4 linked regions of the Ovis aries genome follow. The protein of the gene in region 1 binds, or shares a complex with, the protein of each later gene. Links are inferred from orthologs where the notes say so. Each region holds a gene or a part of one and is shown in the gene's direction. Other genes may lie near its edges. The genes, in order: STX4, BET1L, BNIP1 and VTI1B.

What was found.
Region 2: STX4 (region 1) and BET1L share a complex: the UniProt entries of both Homo sapiens proteins name them as parts of the SNARE complex. The link is inferred for Ovis aries from reciprocal best matches to the Homo sapiens genes STX4 and BET1L.
Region 3: STX4 (region 1) and BNIP1 share a complex: the UniProt entries of both Homo sapiens proteins name them as parts of the SNARE complex. The link is inferred for Ovis aries from reciprocal best matches to the Homo sapiens genes STX4 and BNIP1.
Region 4: STX4 (region 1) and VTI1B share a complex: the UniProt entries of both Homo sapiens proteins name them as parts of the SNARE complex. The link is inferred for Ovis aries from reciprocal best matches to the Homo sapiens genes STX4 and VTI1B.

The regions. Positions count from the first base shown.
Region 1 is NC_056077.1:27,673,530-27,677,524, forward strand, and holds the start of STX4 (syntaxin-4), read left to right. Parts: upstream 1-1,138; 5' UTR 1,139-1,423; coding exon 1,424-1,453; intron 1,454-1,640; coding exon 1,641-1,742; intron 1,743-1,855; coding exon 1,856-1,955; intron 1,956-2,090; coding exon 2,091-2,165; intron 2,166-2,667; exon of another isoform or gene 2,668-2,892; coding exon 2,893-2,963; exon of another isoform or gene 2,964-3,995. UniProt on the Homo sapiens protein: Plasma membrane t-SNARE that mediates docking of transport vesicles. Necessary for the translocation of SLC2A4 from intracellular vesicles to the plasma membrane.
Region 2 is NC_056074.1:47,478,389-47,482,575, forward strand, and holds the start of BET1L (BET1-like protein), read left to right. Parts: upstream 1-1,372; 5' UTR 1,373-1,438; coding exon 1,439-1,457; intron 1,458-2,591; coding exon 2,592-2,683; intron 2,684-2,923; coding exon 2,924-2,980; intron 2,981-3,109; coding exon 3,110-3,277; 3' UTR 3,278-4,187. UniProt on the Homo sapiens protein: Vesicle SNARE required for targeting and fusion of retrograde transport vesicles with the Golgi complex. Required for the integrity of the Golgi complex.
Region 3 is NC_056069.1:5,005,440-5,009,500, forward strand, and holds the start of BNIP1 (vesicle transport protein SEC20), read left to right. Parts: upstream 1-1,248; 5' UTR 1,249-1,257; coding exon 1,258-1,341; intron 1,342-3,501; coding exon 3,502-3,594; intron 3,595-4,061. UniProt on the Homo sapiens protein: As part of a SNARE complex may be involved in endoplasmic reticulum membranes fusion and be required for the maintenance of endoplasmic reticulum organization. Also plays a role in apoptosis.
Region 4 is NC_056060.1:77,616,168-77,620,432, reverse strand, and holds the start of VTI1B (vesicle transport through interaction with t-SNAREs homolog 1B), read left to right. Parts: upstream 1-1,452; 5' UTR 1,453-1,582; coding exon 1,583-1,697; intron 1,698-4,265. UniProt on the Homo sapiens protein: V-SNARE that mediates vesicle transport pathways through interactions with t-SNAREs on the target membrane. These interactions are proposed to mediate aspects of the specificity of vesicle trafficking and to promote fusion of the lipid bilayers.

The DNA.
Region 1 (3,995 bases):
GTGGTAAAGAATCTGTCTGCCAGTGAAGAAGACACAAGAGATGCTGGTTCGATCCTTGGGTTGGGAAGATCCCCTGGAGGAGGAAATGGCAACCCGCTCTGGTATTCTTGCCTGGAAAATTGTATGGGCAGAGGAGCCTGGTGGGCTACAATTTGTGTGTGTTAGTCACTTAGTCGTGTCCGACTCTTTTGTGACCCCATGGACTGTAACCCTCCAGGCTCCTCTGTCCACAATCATGCCCTCACTTTAGTAACTCACAGGCCACGATAATATGTAATATTTTTGTGGGTTCCAGAGGGTAGACCCCCAGTGCAAGGTGGGGGTCTGGGGAGGGGGTTGTCTAAGTGACATGCTGCTCAATGTAACAGACTTTTTTCTAAGCCCGAGCTGCCCTGAAATGCCCTGCTCAAAGGTGGTGAGTGCAGCGGGACTGCAGTGTTCAAGCCGGGCGCCAGCCAGCCGCCCACCTGTCAGAAACTGTGCCAGGAGTATGCGGGAGAAGAGAGTTCCGCCTCGGGTGAGGTCACTTCCCACCCCCAGATGCTCTGCCTACAAAATCTCGCAAGTCTCTGACGCTGTATTTTATTCTTTTCTGAATTTCAAGGTCTCATGATGTTGACAGCTCCAAATTCTAAGTCCTCAGTCTGCCCACACTCGCGGACCCAAAAGAAAGGAAGCCGGATTCAGCCTGGGTCCTACCACCCACTGTCTCTGGGGGTAGTCAGCGCCCCCTCCCCGCCTCGCGGGGGTTCTGAAGAGAGGTAACTCGCGCGCGGGGTGCCGAGGACGTCGTGGGGAGATGGGTGTTCCAGAGATGGAGTTGACAGGGCAGAGACATGTGACAGTCGAAGCGTCACGTTCCGTGGTCTGAGAGGTTGGGACCAGGCCGGTCACATGACGCGCGCGGGGGGGTTTGCACTATGGGGTGATGCGAATTGAGAGGGCCTCACAGATCACGTACCAATGACGCATTCCCACCCCTTTTGGCAACTAGATTTCCGCTGGAAGATGCGATAGTTCCGGCAAAGGGGGCGGGTTCTCACGTCCTGGCAATTTCGCTTCCGTTCGGGGCGCTGAAGCTTCCGACCTCGGCCTTTCCCTGGGGTGGGGAAGGGACGCGATCCGGTGCGCATGCTCCAGTCTTTCCAGAGGGGGCGGGGCTGAGGCTACAGGAGAGGGCGGGGGGAAAGAAAAGGGAATTCCAACCTGTGGAATCTTGGGGGTCCCCGAGGTCGGCTCCTTCCCTTTGAAACTGTGAATGGTGCCAGGGACAGAGCCTCTAGCGACTCTTGGGGGAGGGTTTGGGGCCTGCAGGGTGAGGGCGGAGGGGAGTGTCAGAGTGTGAGTTGGGTACGGGAGTTCCAAACTTAGAATCTTGAGGCCCGCCGGGCTCCGGCGCCGGCGAGAGGGATCTCGGGCCGCCATGCGGGACAGGACCCACGAGCTGAGGCAGGTGAGAATTTGGCGCAGCAGGGTTGGGGACGGGTGGACGGGATGGGGTCTACTGGAATGCAGGACTCCTGGTCCTCGGGGCCGGGAGGGATGACTGTGGGCTAGGAAGGAAAGTCCCGGAAGCCCGTGAGTTCTACTGGGGGAGAGCAGTAGCAAGGAAGTGATGCCAGTGACCCCGGCCCTGGCAGGGGGATGACAGCTCGGACGATGAAGACAAGGAGCGAGTCGCGCTGGTGGTACACCCGGGTACTGCACGGCTGGGGAGCCCGGACGATGAGTTCTTCCAGAAGGTAAGAGGCTGGAGTCTCGGCCTGGATTCACGAGGGGCCTGGAGGGCCCGAGGAGCAGAGCAGCCTGGAGCAGCGCCCACATCTCCCTCAGCCCTCTCGGTCATCGTCCCCAGGTTCGGACAATTCGGCAGACTATCGTCAAGCTAGAGAATAAAGTCCGAGAGTTGGAGAAGCAGCAGGTCACCATCCTGGCCACGCCCCTTCCCGAGGAGAGTGAGTGAAACCCCGGGTGCAGAACGCATGCTCAGCTGGAGGCTTGTGGGGGTTGTAGTTCCACACAGGTGGTGGCCAGGGAGATTTGTTGAGGTAGAGGTTGCTATTTGGGCATCATGGCTTTCTCTTGTTTAGGCATGAAGCAGGACCTGCAGAACCTGCGTGACGAGATCAAACAGCTAGGGAGGGACATCCGCGCGCAGCTGAAGGGTGAGCTCCTAGGACTTTAGCCAGATACTTTCCTCTGATCCTGCCCAACTCCTGGTATTTCTGGGCAGTGTGTGGTCCAGAGAGGCCAGTGATATATATCCAGGTCACACAGCAGGCCAACGTCTAGAATCTCCATCTCCTGGCTTTCGGTCCAAAGTTCTTTCCACAGCATATGCCTGCCTCTCAAGTTCCCTTATTTATAATGAAACCATGTCCATTTGATCTTTGTCCAAGGCAGAGGTTAGCGTTGCTACCTCCACCTTCAGGTCGTTATCTGCATATAACTGTATAGTCTGCCGTCCACATCCCAGGTTCTGCAAGGGTGGATTCATGCAGTCATGGATTGTGTAGTACTGTAGTATGCATTTATTTTCTAAAAATTCAGGTATAAGTGGACCCACAGTTGTGCAAGGATCATCTGTACTCCTACAATTCTTGCTGCCCAGTGTGTATTCTTTGGGTGGGAAGATGTGGGTTTTGTTAGGAAGCTTCTCCAAACATGTGGGAATTCTCTGATGTATTTATTGCAAAGAAAAATATACTTTTGCCTGTCAGAGGCTCAAGAGTAGTCATTTATGATGAATTTTATTTCAAAAAAAAAGCTCTGTGGAGATATTGTATCTCTCTCTATTGTATGGCTGCATGGCTGGGTCCCAGTCCCCAAATGAATTTCAGAAGCCAGAGGTCAAACCCCCTCCTCTACCAATACTTCTGTGTCTTTCCACAGCCATAGAGCCCCAGAAGGAGGAAGCTGATGAGAATTATAACTCCGTCAACACAAGAATGAGAAAAACCCAGGTGGGTTCATTATTCCCAGAAGTAGGACATTTCAGCAAGTGTTCAATAGATCATTAGATGGCAGATGTAAGAAGGCAGGGCTCTTAGAGATCATTAAATCCAACCTGATGATTTTCCAAATGAGGAAACTGAGGCTCAGAGATAAAAAAGGATTTACCCCAAGGTCAAGAACCCGGGTTTCCTGACTTCCAATCTGTTATAACACCTTGCCTTCTTCTCCTCCATTCAGTGAGAAGTTGCTGAGACCCCAGACATGATCTGGGCTTGGTTGTAGGAGATATACTTTCTAGAAGCCAAGATGGGGAGTTAAGCTTGCATAGATGACAAAGACATTACTCAGGTAGGACTTGGTAGTTAATGGCTCTGCCCAGGGAAAAAAAGGGTGCAGTCAAGTGACTGGGTGGTTTCCTACCCATGTGATGAGGACATCCTCTGCCCCAAGGACAGAATTCAAGTCAGGAAGAGGAACTTCCCTGGTGTGTGTGTATGGGGAAGGTCACTGAATCATCATCTTAATAAGGAGATTTGAAATGGTCTGAGCAGTGTCCTCTGGGTGCCCAGAGAGGCATGGTTTGGAGTTCTTGGAGGTCAGAGTTGGAGTAGGTGGGCCCAGAAATCAGCAAAGACCCCAGATTGAAGATTAAACAATTTGGGGATTTTTTTTTTAATGGAAGAGAAGGAAAGAGTAGTTTTATTACTTTGCCAAACAAAGGGGGGAACACAGTAGGCTAGTGCCTCAAGAACTGCCCCCCCACAATTTGGGCATCTTGAAAGGGTGCAACTGAACCCAGGACAGCAGATGTGTCCTGGAGAAAGGAACTCCAAGGAATGAGCAGATTTTAGGCATCAGGAAAATGGACAAGCAGGGAAGGCATTTACAGGGGGTGGGGGGCTTGTGGTAGTCATTGTGTGAGAGGCTGAGTGCCCAGGTGGGCCTGCAAAATCTGGGAAATGCAAAATCCTGGCACACCTTTAGTCTAAGCAGGGAGGCTGGTGTTCAGCAAGCATTCCACTAATATTCTTTGAGGGCCT
Region 2 (4,187 bases), on another chromosome or scaffold:
AGACTTTGCTGCCGAGTCAGCTTTGGCCTTAAACTCCGGCTCGGTGATCGTCCGACTTATGGGCCAGAATCGCCCTGAACCGAGCAGTGAGCCTCACTCCTTGGGCTAGGATTCCTGACAGGAGAGGGCCTCAGCCCCGCACCCCTCCATCACACGCACACCAACACCGCTCTTGATGCACAGAACGAATGAAACGTCCAGGGAAAAGTCGAGGTGGAAAGGAGTTTACAACCTCCGGACCACTTGGTTTCTAAACAGATGTTTGAGTGCCTACTGCACGCGAGGAGCCGGGATGCGGGTGAATAGAACCCACAGGTTCCTGCCTTCTTGGCGCTTATGTGCCGGATGTGAAGACTAAAACGGGCAAACAAGACGACGTTAGGCAGCTATAGTGCTGTGATTGAATAACAAAAGGGGCTTGATGGGCTGCAAGGAGATCTGAAGAAGTGCCAGTCAGTTTTTGCTGAGACCGGAGCCTAGGGAGTGAGCCAGGAAAGGCTCCGAAGGAAGGTTCTGCAAGGCAGGAGTGGCCAGTGCGAGGGTGGGAATGGCCGTGGAGGGAGAGAGAAACATCACTGTTGGAGCTGAGAGAAAAGAGAGACGGGGTCGGGGTGGGGGGAAGGTCAGGAGGAAGACAAAGTCTGACTGTGTGCGGTGACTTCCCTGCTGTGTAAGCAGGCACACCTGCTCGTCTGCTTGGGCTGTTTCCTTTTTTGAAAAGCAGAGACGATACAAGTTTCCATTTCAGTGGATTGTCGAGTACATGGCACAGCAATTGCTCCATTACGGGGGGTGGGTAACTTATAACCCATCCACCGGGCAAGAAGGCTTTGTTAAGCATCTACTTTGTCAGGCCCCTTGTCAGCACCGCGTGCAAGGTCAAAAAGCGCTGGCTCCTCCCGTACCCACTCCCCTCACGCTCCCACCCCTCTTCCTGGTTCCTTGTTTTCTTCAGAGGGCTTCACTCCTGCGACTTCTGCACCGCTCGCTCGTTCCAGGCACTGATCTCGTTTGTCCTGCCGGCAGTAACTGGAACCGGGCTTCCCATCGAGTTCGCTCCGGGCCTCAACCCCGGCGGGGTCGCGGCGAGGAGCCTCTTTGGCCCGGGAAAGGCCCGTGTGCTCTTCCCAGTTAGGACCCCGACACCGCCTTAGGCGGGAATGGCTGCTGGAGTGTCTGTGGGCACCATAGTTGCCTCTAAAACCACAAATCATCCAGGAGTCCCGAGAGCAAACGCCAGCCCCATCCCCAAGTCAAACGACGGAAGAAACGTCAGATTCTTCCCGTTCCCACCGCCGAGTCTGTCGGCCAGATCTCGGCCGGAAGTGGGGGGCCTGAGGCGGAAGGGGTGGGGCCGGAAGCCCCTTCCGGCGACTGCGCCACGTCCGAGGAGGCTGTAATCAAGCGGTGACGGACCCTGGGGTCGGAGCTGGACGCGATGGCGGACTGGGCTCGGGGTGAGCGCGGAAGGGCGGAGGCGGATGGCTACGGGGCTCGCCGGGGCCGACTCCGCTGCTCTTAGGAACCGCCTTCGCCTTTCTCCGCGGCACTAGGTGGCGTTGTTGGCAAGACACTGCGGGCGGGCGTAGTTTGGGCAGGGCGGCCAGGGTGCAGCCCGCCGCGCTGTGGATGAGTCGCTGGGTCCCTTTGGGCGCTCCTGCCCAGCTGCTGCGTGAAACTGCGGGGTCCGGATGCCCGCAGTCCCCACCCGTTTCGTCCCTGGGAGATGACTCTGCACGGGACCTCGGCCGGGTCTCCTGGTTGACGGGTCCCTGAGGCTAGACCCCCTCGGAGTGAGAGCTGCGCGTGATAGGAGGGCCCAAGCATGCCTAGTACCCCACTTGCCTTCTGGGAGTCTCTCTTCACCTGCGAAGTGGGATGCTGATGCTTGTTTCGCTGGGCTGTTGTGACTTTTAAGGAGTTAAGGGTACAGTCGGTCGGTAGGACCTTTACACCTCTTATTTTGGGGTTTGTAAGAAGCCATGGTTCCTAGACTGTGCCCGCTTTTGATGAGTCTCCTTGAGGCATCGGGCTCGAGGCAAATGCGCACTCTGAACTTTGTGGGAAACAGTTCTCACCAGCCTGGTAGGGTGGTAATTCTGAATCACCAGGCCCAGCGCCTGTCTCGGGCCAGTTCTCAGCGGGTACCAGGCTCTGGGTGACACACAAGACCCTGTGTGGGATCAGTCTCAAGCCCTGTAAGTCTTACCAGAGCTCATTGGGGTTTATTTTGAGAACAGGTTCTGTGTACCTTGCTAGTGACACCTGCGGAGGGATGGTACAAGTTCCGTCACAGAATGTCTGAAAGTACTGGTTGAACTGAGCCCTTTGGAGGTGCCCGCCCACCCATCCCAGCCTGGATACATGCACAGGACCTGTGCTCACACTGTTGTTTATACAGTCCTCCTCATGTGTGAAGTTGGATCCTGGGTGAGGGTGGGGCCTGCTCAGCAGACACACAGAGGCCGGGTCCCCTTAGATGCCTGACTGGGCCAGATGGGATTGGAGGCCGGAGGCCACAAAGGGCCGAGATTATAGGGGTCACGGTTCATGAGCGGAGTCATGCTTTCAGCCTCTCTCTCTCCTCACAGCTCAGAGCCCTGGTGCTGTGGAGGAGATTCTAGACCGAGAAAACAAGCGGATGGCTGACAGCTTGGCCTCCAAGGTCACCAGGCTCAAATCGGTCAGTGGTGGTCCTCTCCTTTTGCCTCCACCTGGCATCTGGAGGGGGTGGTCAGCGGGCAGTAAAGACCTGGATGGGTTTCAGGTAGTTCCGTTCTCCTTGTCCCACCTGTGGCATACTCATCTGTGCGAGGCCCAGGTGGCATTTGGATCTTCTGATCTCTGTTGATCTTGTTGGGGGTCAGGTGCTGTTCACTGTGTTTGTCCCGGTCTGACCCTGCCCCCTCTGTGTCCTGACCAGCTGGCTCTGGACATCGATAGGGATGCGGAGGACCAGAACCGGTACCTGGACGGCATGGTAAGGGCCTGCGGTTTGCAAGCGTCACGGTCAGCTCAGCTCCCCACCACCTGCTTTGCAGCCCCCATCTGTGTGTGTGTGTTGCAGAGTCACTGTCCCTTTGTGACAATGTTGGAATTTCTCCCTCAGGACTCAGATTTCACAAGTATGACGGGTCTACTCACAGGGAGTGTGAAGCGGTTTTCCACAATGGCGCGATCTGGGCGAGACAACCGGAAGCTTCTTTGTGGTATGGCTGTGGGCCTGATTGTGGCCTTCTTCATCCTCTCCTACCTCCTGTCGAGGGCAAGGACGTGAGCCAATGGGAACTGGCTTCTGTGGGTGCCTGGGGCAACCAGGATTTTCCTCTGTCTGGTGTTTTGGGCTCCAGAGAACTTGTTTTCAAAATACTCCTTTGAAATGAGGATCATGGCTTAGGAATGTTTTTTCTGCGTGGTTGGGAGCCTCTAACCCAGTGAGCTCTTGTTAGCTGGTTCTATGTGTGCAAGGGCCCTATCCCTGTGGGGTAGCCTAGGCCCAGCTCCCTCTGCCACCTTGAGCTCTAGAAGCCCCAGCAGTGTTGGGTCCAAGCAGAGCATCTGGGAATCCTGGACACGGCCGCCTGTGAGCAGCAGTCCTTTCATCGGCCCTTGAGGTTCTGAGCATCTCAAGGCTTCTCTGCGCTGTCTTGGTCTGGATGAGGCTGTGTCTGATGTTTGAGCTGCCTGGAGCTGACACAGGAAGGGGGTGTGGCTGTGAAGCTCAAATCACTGCTGTCACCTCCAACTGAGTGTCCTCAGCCCGGAGACTGCAGTTTCTCTGGCCAGGGCTGCTGGTCATCCATGACCCGGAGAGATTCAAAGGTCCTGCTGAGTGGCCTCTTCCTGCCCTCCAGTCCCGCGACTGAAACCAGGCCCTCGGGGATGGGCAGGGGGTGTGGGTGGAGGAAGGGACTGCAGCGCAGGCTGAGGACTTGGGGCCCAAGGCCTGCAGTTTCCCAGCCGTGTGTCCAGGAGCAGAAGCCGATGTTCTCACGGGATTCAGGATCTGCCCAGCACCAGAGGCCTGCTTCCCGGAGACTAGACCTCTGGAGACATGTCCGTCTGACGCTTCAGAGTCAGGCCCGGTGTGAGGCGGGGCTTTTGTCGGTGTACGCGGGAGGTTTCTGGATAGTGACTTTTCTTAGGAACTGTAGGGCACTTTTTGAGGGTTTGTGGGCAGTTTCCAC
Region 3 (4,061 bases), on another chromosome or scaffold:
TGCCTCATTTAGCCCTCCAGTCAATGCTAGGATTGCCGGCAGTGAGCCTCTGAGGAGACTGAGGCACAGAGAGATGAAGTGGGTGGTCAAGCAGGATTCAAGCCAGGGCAGATGCCCAAGATGCGTTGCCCAGCCAGTCTATTAGATGCAGTGGTGTGATGAACGCTTCAAGGGAGGGTGTTCTCTCCAGGACTAGACTTCCAAAAAGAGCTTGAAGAATCCAGGAAGGAGACAGGGCTGGTGGGGTGATTGATGCCCTTGAGATCCAGCTAAGAAACTTGGACTAGTTAATAATAATAATACAATGAAAGAGTCTCCATCTGTTGAGGGTGTGCTCTTAAGTATTTCCATTAAGTAATTTAAGGCTTCCCTGGTGGCTCTAAAGACGGTAAAGAATCTGCAATGTGGGAGACCCAGGTTCAATCCCTGGGTCGGGAAGATCTGCCTGGAAAAGGAAATGGCTACCACTCCAGTATTCTTGCCTGGAAAATCCCATGGGCAGAGGAGGGTTACATCCCTGCCAGGTTACAGTCAGTCCATGGAGTCACAGGACTAAGTGACTCACTTTTGTTTCCATTAAAAACTACATTAATCCGTCAAAACTACTCCAGCAAAGTATATTTATTAAAACCAATTGCACACAAAAGGGAAACGCCAGGAGTCAGAGAAGGGGTGTAAGTTGGAATGTGACTTGATCAGTTGGGCATTTTAGAAAGATCCCTCCAACCGTGGGCTGAACTGACAGGAGTTGTTAACCCTAGCAAACTACCTTGAATTTCATACATTAAAAAAAATAATGATAACATTTGTCATTTTCTTCTTTCACCCTACAACTTATTTTCACTGTAGAAAATATGAAAAATACAAGAAAGTGTAAAGGAGTATAAAAAATTGTTTAACTCCACCTTCCAGAGACATCCCAATGGATATTTTTTTCCAATCTTTTTCCCCTCTCTGTGCAAAAAATATGCAGTCATTAGAATGGCTGATGGGCAGAATATGGGGAGACGCCCCTGTTAAAGCGTCCTGACAATTCCCTCCTTTCTTTCTCTACGTCTTCTAGGTCCACCACAAGAGGCCGACTGATTTTTCCCACGTGTCAGGCAAAGGCCATAGGACTTGGCGCCACCACCCTCGCTCGCCTCAGGCCTGGTCTCTAGGGGGCGCTGCCGTAAGACCCGGAGGCTAAAAAGGAAACCGGTGCGAAAACGCGTTGGAACTTGGGCTCCGCGGCTTCCCGTAGCCGGCATTTCCAACATGGCTGCTGCCCAAGATGTCCACGTCCGTATCTGTAACCAAGAGATTGTCAAATTCGATCTGGAGGTGAAGGCGCTTATCCAGGTACTAATGCCCGGGGTCCCCGCCAGGGTCCAGAAGCCCTAAATCCCAGCTCAGCTGGCCTTCTGTGAGCTCAGCGGCCTTACTCCCGAGCTTTCCGCCCTTGGTCATGTCTCCGAGGCCACTGGCCCAGCTCCCTGCCCGCTACCCCTCAACTGTCTCGCCCCATGGCCCCTCCCCTGGATCGTTGGCTTTGGTATTCCGTCCGACTGCCGTTAGCTCGCCCTCTTCCAGGACACCCCGTCCTCTACCTCCACTCCTAACTGGGCTTCCCCTATGTGGCCGCTCCCCTACACACCCCTGGCCGTCACCTCGCCACCCCCCAGCCAGCCTCAAAACATACCTGTCATCCTGCCTGGCCCCGCCTTCTGATCCCGTCCTCCTCATGCTTCAGTAGCGTCCTGTGGGCCATCAGCCTCGCCCCCTGCTGGTCTGATGCCCCGTGGCACCAAAGGCCACCTGGCACAGGAGGTACTGGGTGAAATGAACGTGACCTAGACCGTAGTTGTGATTTTGTAAATGAGGAAGGAGTCTGCCTGAGCAGAAAGTAGATAATGGCAAAACTGGGACGCGGACAATGAAAGTCATCCTAGAAAAAATTCTTGGCGTCTACTTCGTTTAACTGATGGGGCGATTGAGATCCTTTGCCTAAGCCAATTAAGGGTAGAAGGTAATAGTTCAGTAAACCAGTTGGCATAGGCAAGAGTTGGGAATGTAGAAATAGTTCCTTTAGTTTATCAAAAAGAAACCAAGAGTTTTAAACCTTTCTTTTGGGCAAATGGTTTCCATTTCCAGCAGTGTTACTCAACCTTAGATGCTAAGTAAGAGTCTTCATCTAGCTGTGGTAAAAGGTGAAGGAAAGTAAGCTCCCTACGGAAATCAGGTGCAAAATAAACCAAATTAATAGCCGTTAAATGTTGCATGGAACTGTGATTTAATGAGTAATCCAGAGAACAAGAACAACTTGATACAAACATTTAAACTTTTTGAACTTCACCTTTCCCATGTATTAACTACAAAACATCTGGGCCAATTCTAGAAGAATTAATTTAGGATTCATAAAAAGGAAACTGGCTTTTCAGGTGATCTAAATTTCCTCAGCCCCATTTTGCACTCTCCAAGATTCACTTTCTCCTGAAGAGAACAATTGATTATAGCTAGATTTAGCACATCCTTACAGTGTGGCAACTCCTGCTAAGCCCTTTATGTGGGTACCTGGTTATGAAGTGGGTAATGATGGGTAAACAGACACAGAAGCTTCAGTAACTTTTTCAGGATTATACATCTGATAAATTGCTGCAACTAGAATTTGAATCCACATGGTCTGACTCTAGGGCCTACTTTTTACCTGGCCCTGGTAATTCTGAATGTCCAGAAACAAATTCGAAATCTACATTTGAACATGTCTGTAAACTGTGTGATTTATCATATTAATAGATGGTGTGTAAAATCAGTTCAAGCAGTTAAAGAGGTTCGTCTTGTCATATGCCGAGAATTTAGCATCCTCATTTTTAGGTTGGAAAGACCTGAAGTTATGGTGCCCTCTCAGGTGTTCGTTCTTGTCGGATATGCAAGCTGCTTTAAGTCTTTCATAATGGCTGGATGCTGTTCTGTTAAACATCAAGACTTATTAGTTCCTTAGTCCGTTTCTGGTTTTAAAAACGTGTTTATTAATTAATTTTTGGTTGCACTGAGTCTTCGCTGCTGCGCATGGGCTTTCGCTGACCGCACAAGCAGGGGCTACTCTTTGTTGCAGCGCATGCGCTTCTCATTGCTGCAGCTTCTCTTGTTCCGGAGCACAGGCTCTAGGCCCCGCAGGGCTTCGGTAGTTGCAGAGGCAGGCTCCGCAGCTGTGGTGTGCGGGCTTAGTTGCTCCGCAGCATCGGATTTCCTATCCACTGTACCACCAGGGAAGTCGCACTGTTGTCTTTCTGCTTATGCTTCTATGTTGCTCGCTCAGACTTGACTCCAAAGAGGGATGAAAAAAAAGTAAATTATAATGCTTCTGCTTGTGTTACAGAGGTAAACAGCAGAGATTAGGATGAATTACAGCCAGTAGGTCCAACTTAGTTGTGGTCTAAGCCAGCTCTCTCATTGTACAGCTGGTGTCATTTCCTCTCATTGCCTTGAGAAAGGCCCGTTCATCTCTTCAATGTCTCCTAGGATATTCGAGATTGTTCAGGACCATTAAGTGCACTTACCGAACTGAACACTAAAGTGAAAGAGAAGTTTCAGCAACTGCGGCACAGAATACAGGTGAGTGAGTGCGCAGCTGGGACGCTGCGCCTGGGGAAAGAAAAGAAAGTGCATTGGAGAGGTTTTGCATTGTGTTAAGTTAATGATTTGTTTAAAATCTAGATTCTTTAATGGAGCGTAAACTCAATGACAGCAGGCCTGTTCCTGGTGATCGCTGCGTATCCCTCATGATGGTACAGATTGAGCACCATCGTTGAGTGGAAGAATGGGTGTGTGGGAAGAAGGGAGGGAGGGAGGCAAGGTGGGGGAAATGGAAGTTCTGTCACAGAGAAGCAGAGAGAGTTCTAGAGGAAAAGAAAGTGAGGGCTGCTGCCCCTCACTGAGGTGGGTGGCTGTGTCCTGGGGTTTGATTATTTGGGGCTCTGAGTCTTTCTTTTCAGAAGGCCTTACCTGTGGGGCTTTCGTGCGACCTGGGTTGAATGTCTCTTCAGAGGTTTTTGCATTTGCTTTTGCCAGGTCTCCTGGGA
Region 4 (4,265 bases), on another chromosome or scaffold:
TTTTTGTACCTGCCTTTTCTGTAACACAATGCTATTCACTACTACTAACAATCCCAGACTTTGCTATCTCTGAATGCTCAATGAATACTGGTGTCTCAGTGATAAAGAATCCGCCTGCAGTGCAGAAGACTTGGGTTCCATCCCTGGGTCAAGAATATTCCCCTGGAGAAGAGAATGGCTACCCACTCCAGTATTCTTGCCTAGGAAATCCCCTGGACAGAAGAGCCTGGCAGGCTGCAGTCCATGGAGTCACAAAGAGCTGGATACAACTGAGCGACTGACACTTTTCACTTTCTTGGGACTTATCACAGTACACTGCTACTAACAACTGCAGACTTGGCTACACAAAGAGCTCAACAAATGTTTGTTGAATCAAAGGCCAATGAACTCAGTCTAATAAAAATAAGGGCCCAGGAGGTATATACATCACCAAATCATTTCCCCCGAACAGTCAAATGTATCTTAATGTGTGGGCAGTCTTCAGTATTGGGCTGCCAAGGAAACATTTCAGAATGAACTCCATAGGCAAACCATGTAATCAACGGAAATAGGAACTTTCTCCCACTAACCATGGGAACCCACAGAGTGCAGGAAAAGGCTTTGTAATCGTTAACACATTACACTTAATGGTGAAGCCAGGTCTGTCTTGCTCACTACATTATAAGTTATCCAAGCGATGAATCTTTTATTCACCAACACATGCCCAGAACCCAGCATAAAGGCTATGGTTAAATTGACAAACACCTGCTGAGTGAATGACTGCATGAGCAAGCCGATATATGAGCTCAGCCCAAATAAGAGGCTGAGCGCATATTTGAGGGGTCGCACTGCTGTCCGGGGGCCACTCCTGAAAGCATGTCACTCCAGTCACCTGCTCCCCAATAAAAGTGCTTTCAACTCGGGGGCAGGCAGGCACCTGGTCCTACTATCTTCTGAGAACTGAAAGCTAACAGCCGGAATGTGAACTGAGGAAATCAGGATAGTCACAGTGCGATGATAATGACGACGACGGCCAGGTGCCAACTGATACCCTAACCGCTGCGCATCGCGGTCACGCCGGCGGCCGCGGTTACAGCAGGACCACCGCCCCCGGCAACTCGTGACTTCCGAGTCGGAGCGTCTTTCGTGCCGAACTACAACCCCCGGCATGCACTGCAGAGCCCCCCCCCCCAATCCTTGCCGGAAGGCGGGGCCCAGGAAAGAGGCGCCCGCGTCGGCCGGCCCGCGGGTGCCCATGTTTTCCTTCCGCCATCCGGCCTCCCTACAGCCTCGGACTGAGTATTTCTGGGGTTCCGAGACTGCCGCTCGCGCCAAAGCGCCACCGCCCCTTCAGAAGTCTCCCGGGCAACGGAGCCAGACTAACTTTCTGTCAGGCTTTGACGCCCGGCGCGCCGTCAGTGACGGCAAGCAGGGGATGGGCGTTCCGGCCCGGGAGGACCCCGCCGCGGCCCCGGAAGCGCCTCGTCGGGGGACTGTGGCGGCGGTCGCCGTGATGCCTGAGGGGCTGGGCGGCTGACGGCGGAGTAGGAGCGGGCCCTGGGCCCAGAATCTCGGCGCCCGCTGCTCGAGAGCGGCCTGCGCCATGGCCACCTCCGCCGCCTCCTCGGAGCATTTCGAGAAACTGCACGAGATCTTCCGCGGCCTCCATGAAGACCTACGAGGGGTGCCGGAGCGGCTCCTGGGGATGGCAGGGACAGGTGAGGTGGGGGCGGGATGAGACAACGGGAACAGCGCTCCGCTAGCACCGGGAGGAAGAACCCCCACCTCCTTTCCAGACCCACCCTCCCGTCTCTCGCTTGGCGTCCTCAGGCACGCCCCCTAGGCCTGGCTGAGTCCCGGCGTCCAGAATCTCCGTGCTGACACTTAGGTACCCAGGGGTCCACCACGGAGTGTCATCTCTCTCTTGAATCCCCTGTTGCCTTCAGAGTTCGCTCGTTTCATTTTCACTGTGGCAAGATGGGCATGAGAGACCTTATACCTGTGACCCTTAAATCTGTAAACTGAGTATAATTGGTTTTCTTTGTGGCTCTCAGTACTTTGTTTTCCGCGCTTGAAAGTGTTCTCCAAAGAGGCCCATAGTTTTCACCAGATTGGCAAAGGACCTGTAGCACAAAAAGGGTTAAAAACCCAAAGCCATCATAACTTTGGAGGCTGGTGTAAATAACCAGTCTTGGGGGCGGGTAGGGGTTGGGGGAGGGATTGGTCTTTAAAATGAGGATGGTGGCCTTCAGGTGCGATCCTTTTATGACCTCTGCTTAGACCTTCCTGCCCCTTGATTTCATAATGCAGTGTGCTGCAAGCTTGTCTTGGGGGAGCTAAGAATTTTTTGATTGAATCTGTATAGGAAGGTCTATCATAGTTCTTTGCCTTAAAACAAGTAGATCTTGATGGCAAGGCCGATGAGACTTTCATTGCTTTTCCTGAAGCGTGGAAGCTTGAGTGTTTGCTCTGTTACCTAAGGTCACATGAATTGAATGACTCTGATGAGAATGAAACTCATACTTTTGTTTAACATATAGTTATTAAGAGAGGCTGCTGTGCACTCGGCACTGTGTAGATGCTGGTAATATTGCAAATTGCTGTGAAAAGACTTAGAGACCTCTGTTCTTATGGGTCGATGATGATATAAATATTTGGAAGTGGTGTTAAGGGCCATACAGGAAAATAAAGCAGGGCAAGGAATGGGGAAGCTCTAATTGTAAATTGGATGGCTATGAAAGGCCTCTTTGAGGAGGTAACGTTTGAGCAGAGACTTGAAGTAAGGGACTGAACCATGCAAAAATTTGGGAGAAATAAGTTTCAGGAGGACAGACTAGTACTGCTGCTGCTGCTAAGTCACTTCAGTCGTGCCCAACTCTATGCAACCCCATAGACGGCAGCCCAGCAGGCTTCCCCATCCCTGGGATTCTCCAGGCAAGAAGACTGGAGTGGGTTGCCATTTCCTTCTCCAGAATAGTACTGCAATAGTCCTTAAGCAGAAGTGAGCTTGGTATGCTCTAGGAAGAACTAAAGGGCCAGTGTGTTTAGGGTGGAATGAGCAAAGGAAATAATAGTAATAGATAAGGTTTTAAAGGGCCAGATTGTGTGGGGCCACGTGAACCCTGGTGAAAGATTTGCATCTTTATCTAAATACAGTGACTTGAAGTTAAAGGCTACAGAACAGGAGAGTGATTGGATCTGATTTACATGGTTGAAAAATAGATCATTTTTTTCACCTGGTGTTGATTTAAATTTTGCAAGATTTGTTTTTGTAAGGGTGTGGTTGTGGTTTAGTTGCTAGGTCGTGTCTGACTCTTTCCAACCGCATGGACTGTAGCCCACCGGACTCCTCTGTCCATGGCGTTTCCCAGATTGGAGTGGGTTGCCATTTCCTTCTCCAGGGGATCTTCCCAACCCAGGGATTGAAACCCCTGTCTCCTGCATTGCACTTGGTCTCCTGCATTGTAGGCGACTTCTTTACCAACTGAGCTATCAGGGAAGGCTAAATAATGCCAAAGGACATTCTGTTTCCAAAAATAGAAAACTTAGTTGTATTCACTTTTGTCATCTACCTGAGGACAATCAAAAAGGTGTGAATTTCTACCCAGGTACAAAATAGTCTCCACACAAGTTGCTGGTAACACTTAGTTGTTCAGTGGGTAAGTATTATATAGTATTTGCATATCCTCAGGTTATAAGAATTTCAACAGCCTTCAGTCCCTTTATTCACTGCTTTGTTTATATTCCTCAATAAATATTTGTTGAATAAGTTGGATTTAATTAAGCAAACATACTGGGGTGTCATCTCTGAATCCTTTTTTTCTTGTACTAAGACGACTTCATAGGCTTTCCAAAGCTTTCCTATCATGAATTATTAGGCACTGAATAATATAGTCACTGAATAATACATTAATACATAACACATCCCTTGCATTTAGCTTATGCTCTGTAATTGAATTCAGTATTTTCAATAAACATCTATCAAGAATTATGAATCACTCAATATCCTGGGTCTGGGGAGTTCTGTGAGTTCTTGCCTTAAATGGGAGATTTCCAAAGTGTGTGATGAGTCCTAAGATAGTTTTGAGACCGTGACAGGAAGGCTAACATGGCCGTAGGGGAGTGAGAGGAAAGCTTCTCAGAAAGGAGAACTTCTGAGTGTAAAGGGTTGAGTGGGAATTTGCCTGAGAGGGGAAGTGAGAAGAGACAACAAAGGAAGGGGAAAAGAAAAGTCAAATATTCAGAACTGTGACTGAAACAAGATGTGTGTAGGAGATCAATAGTAG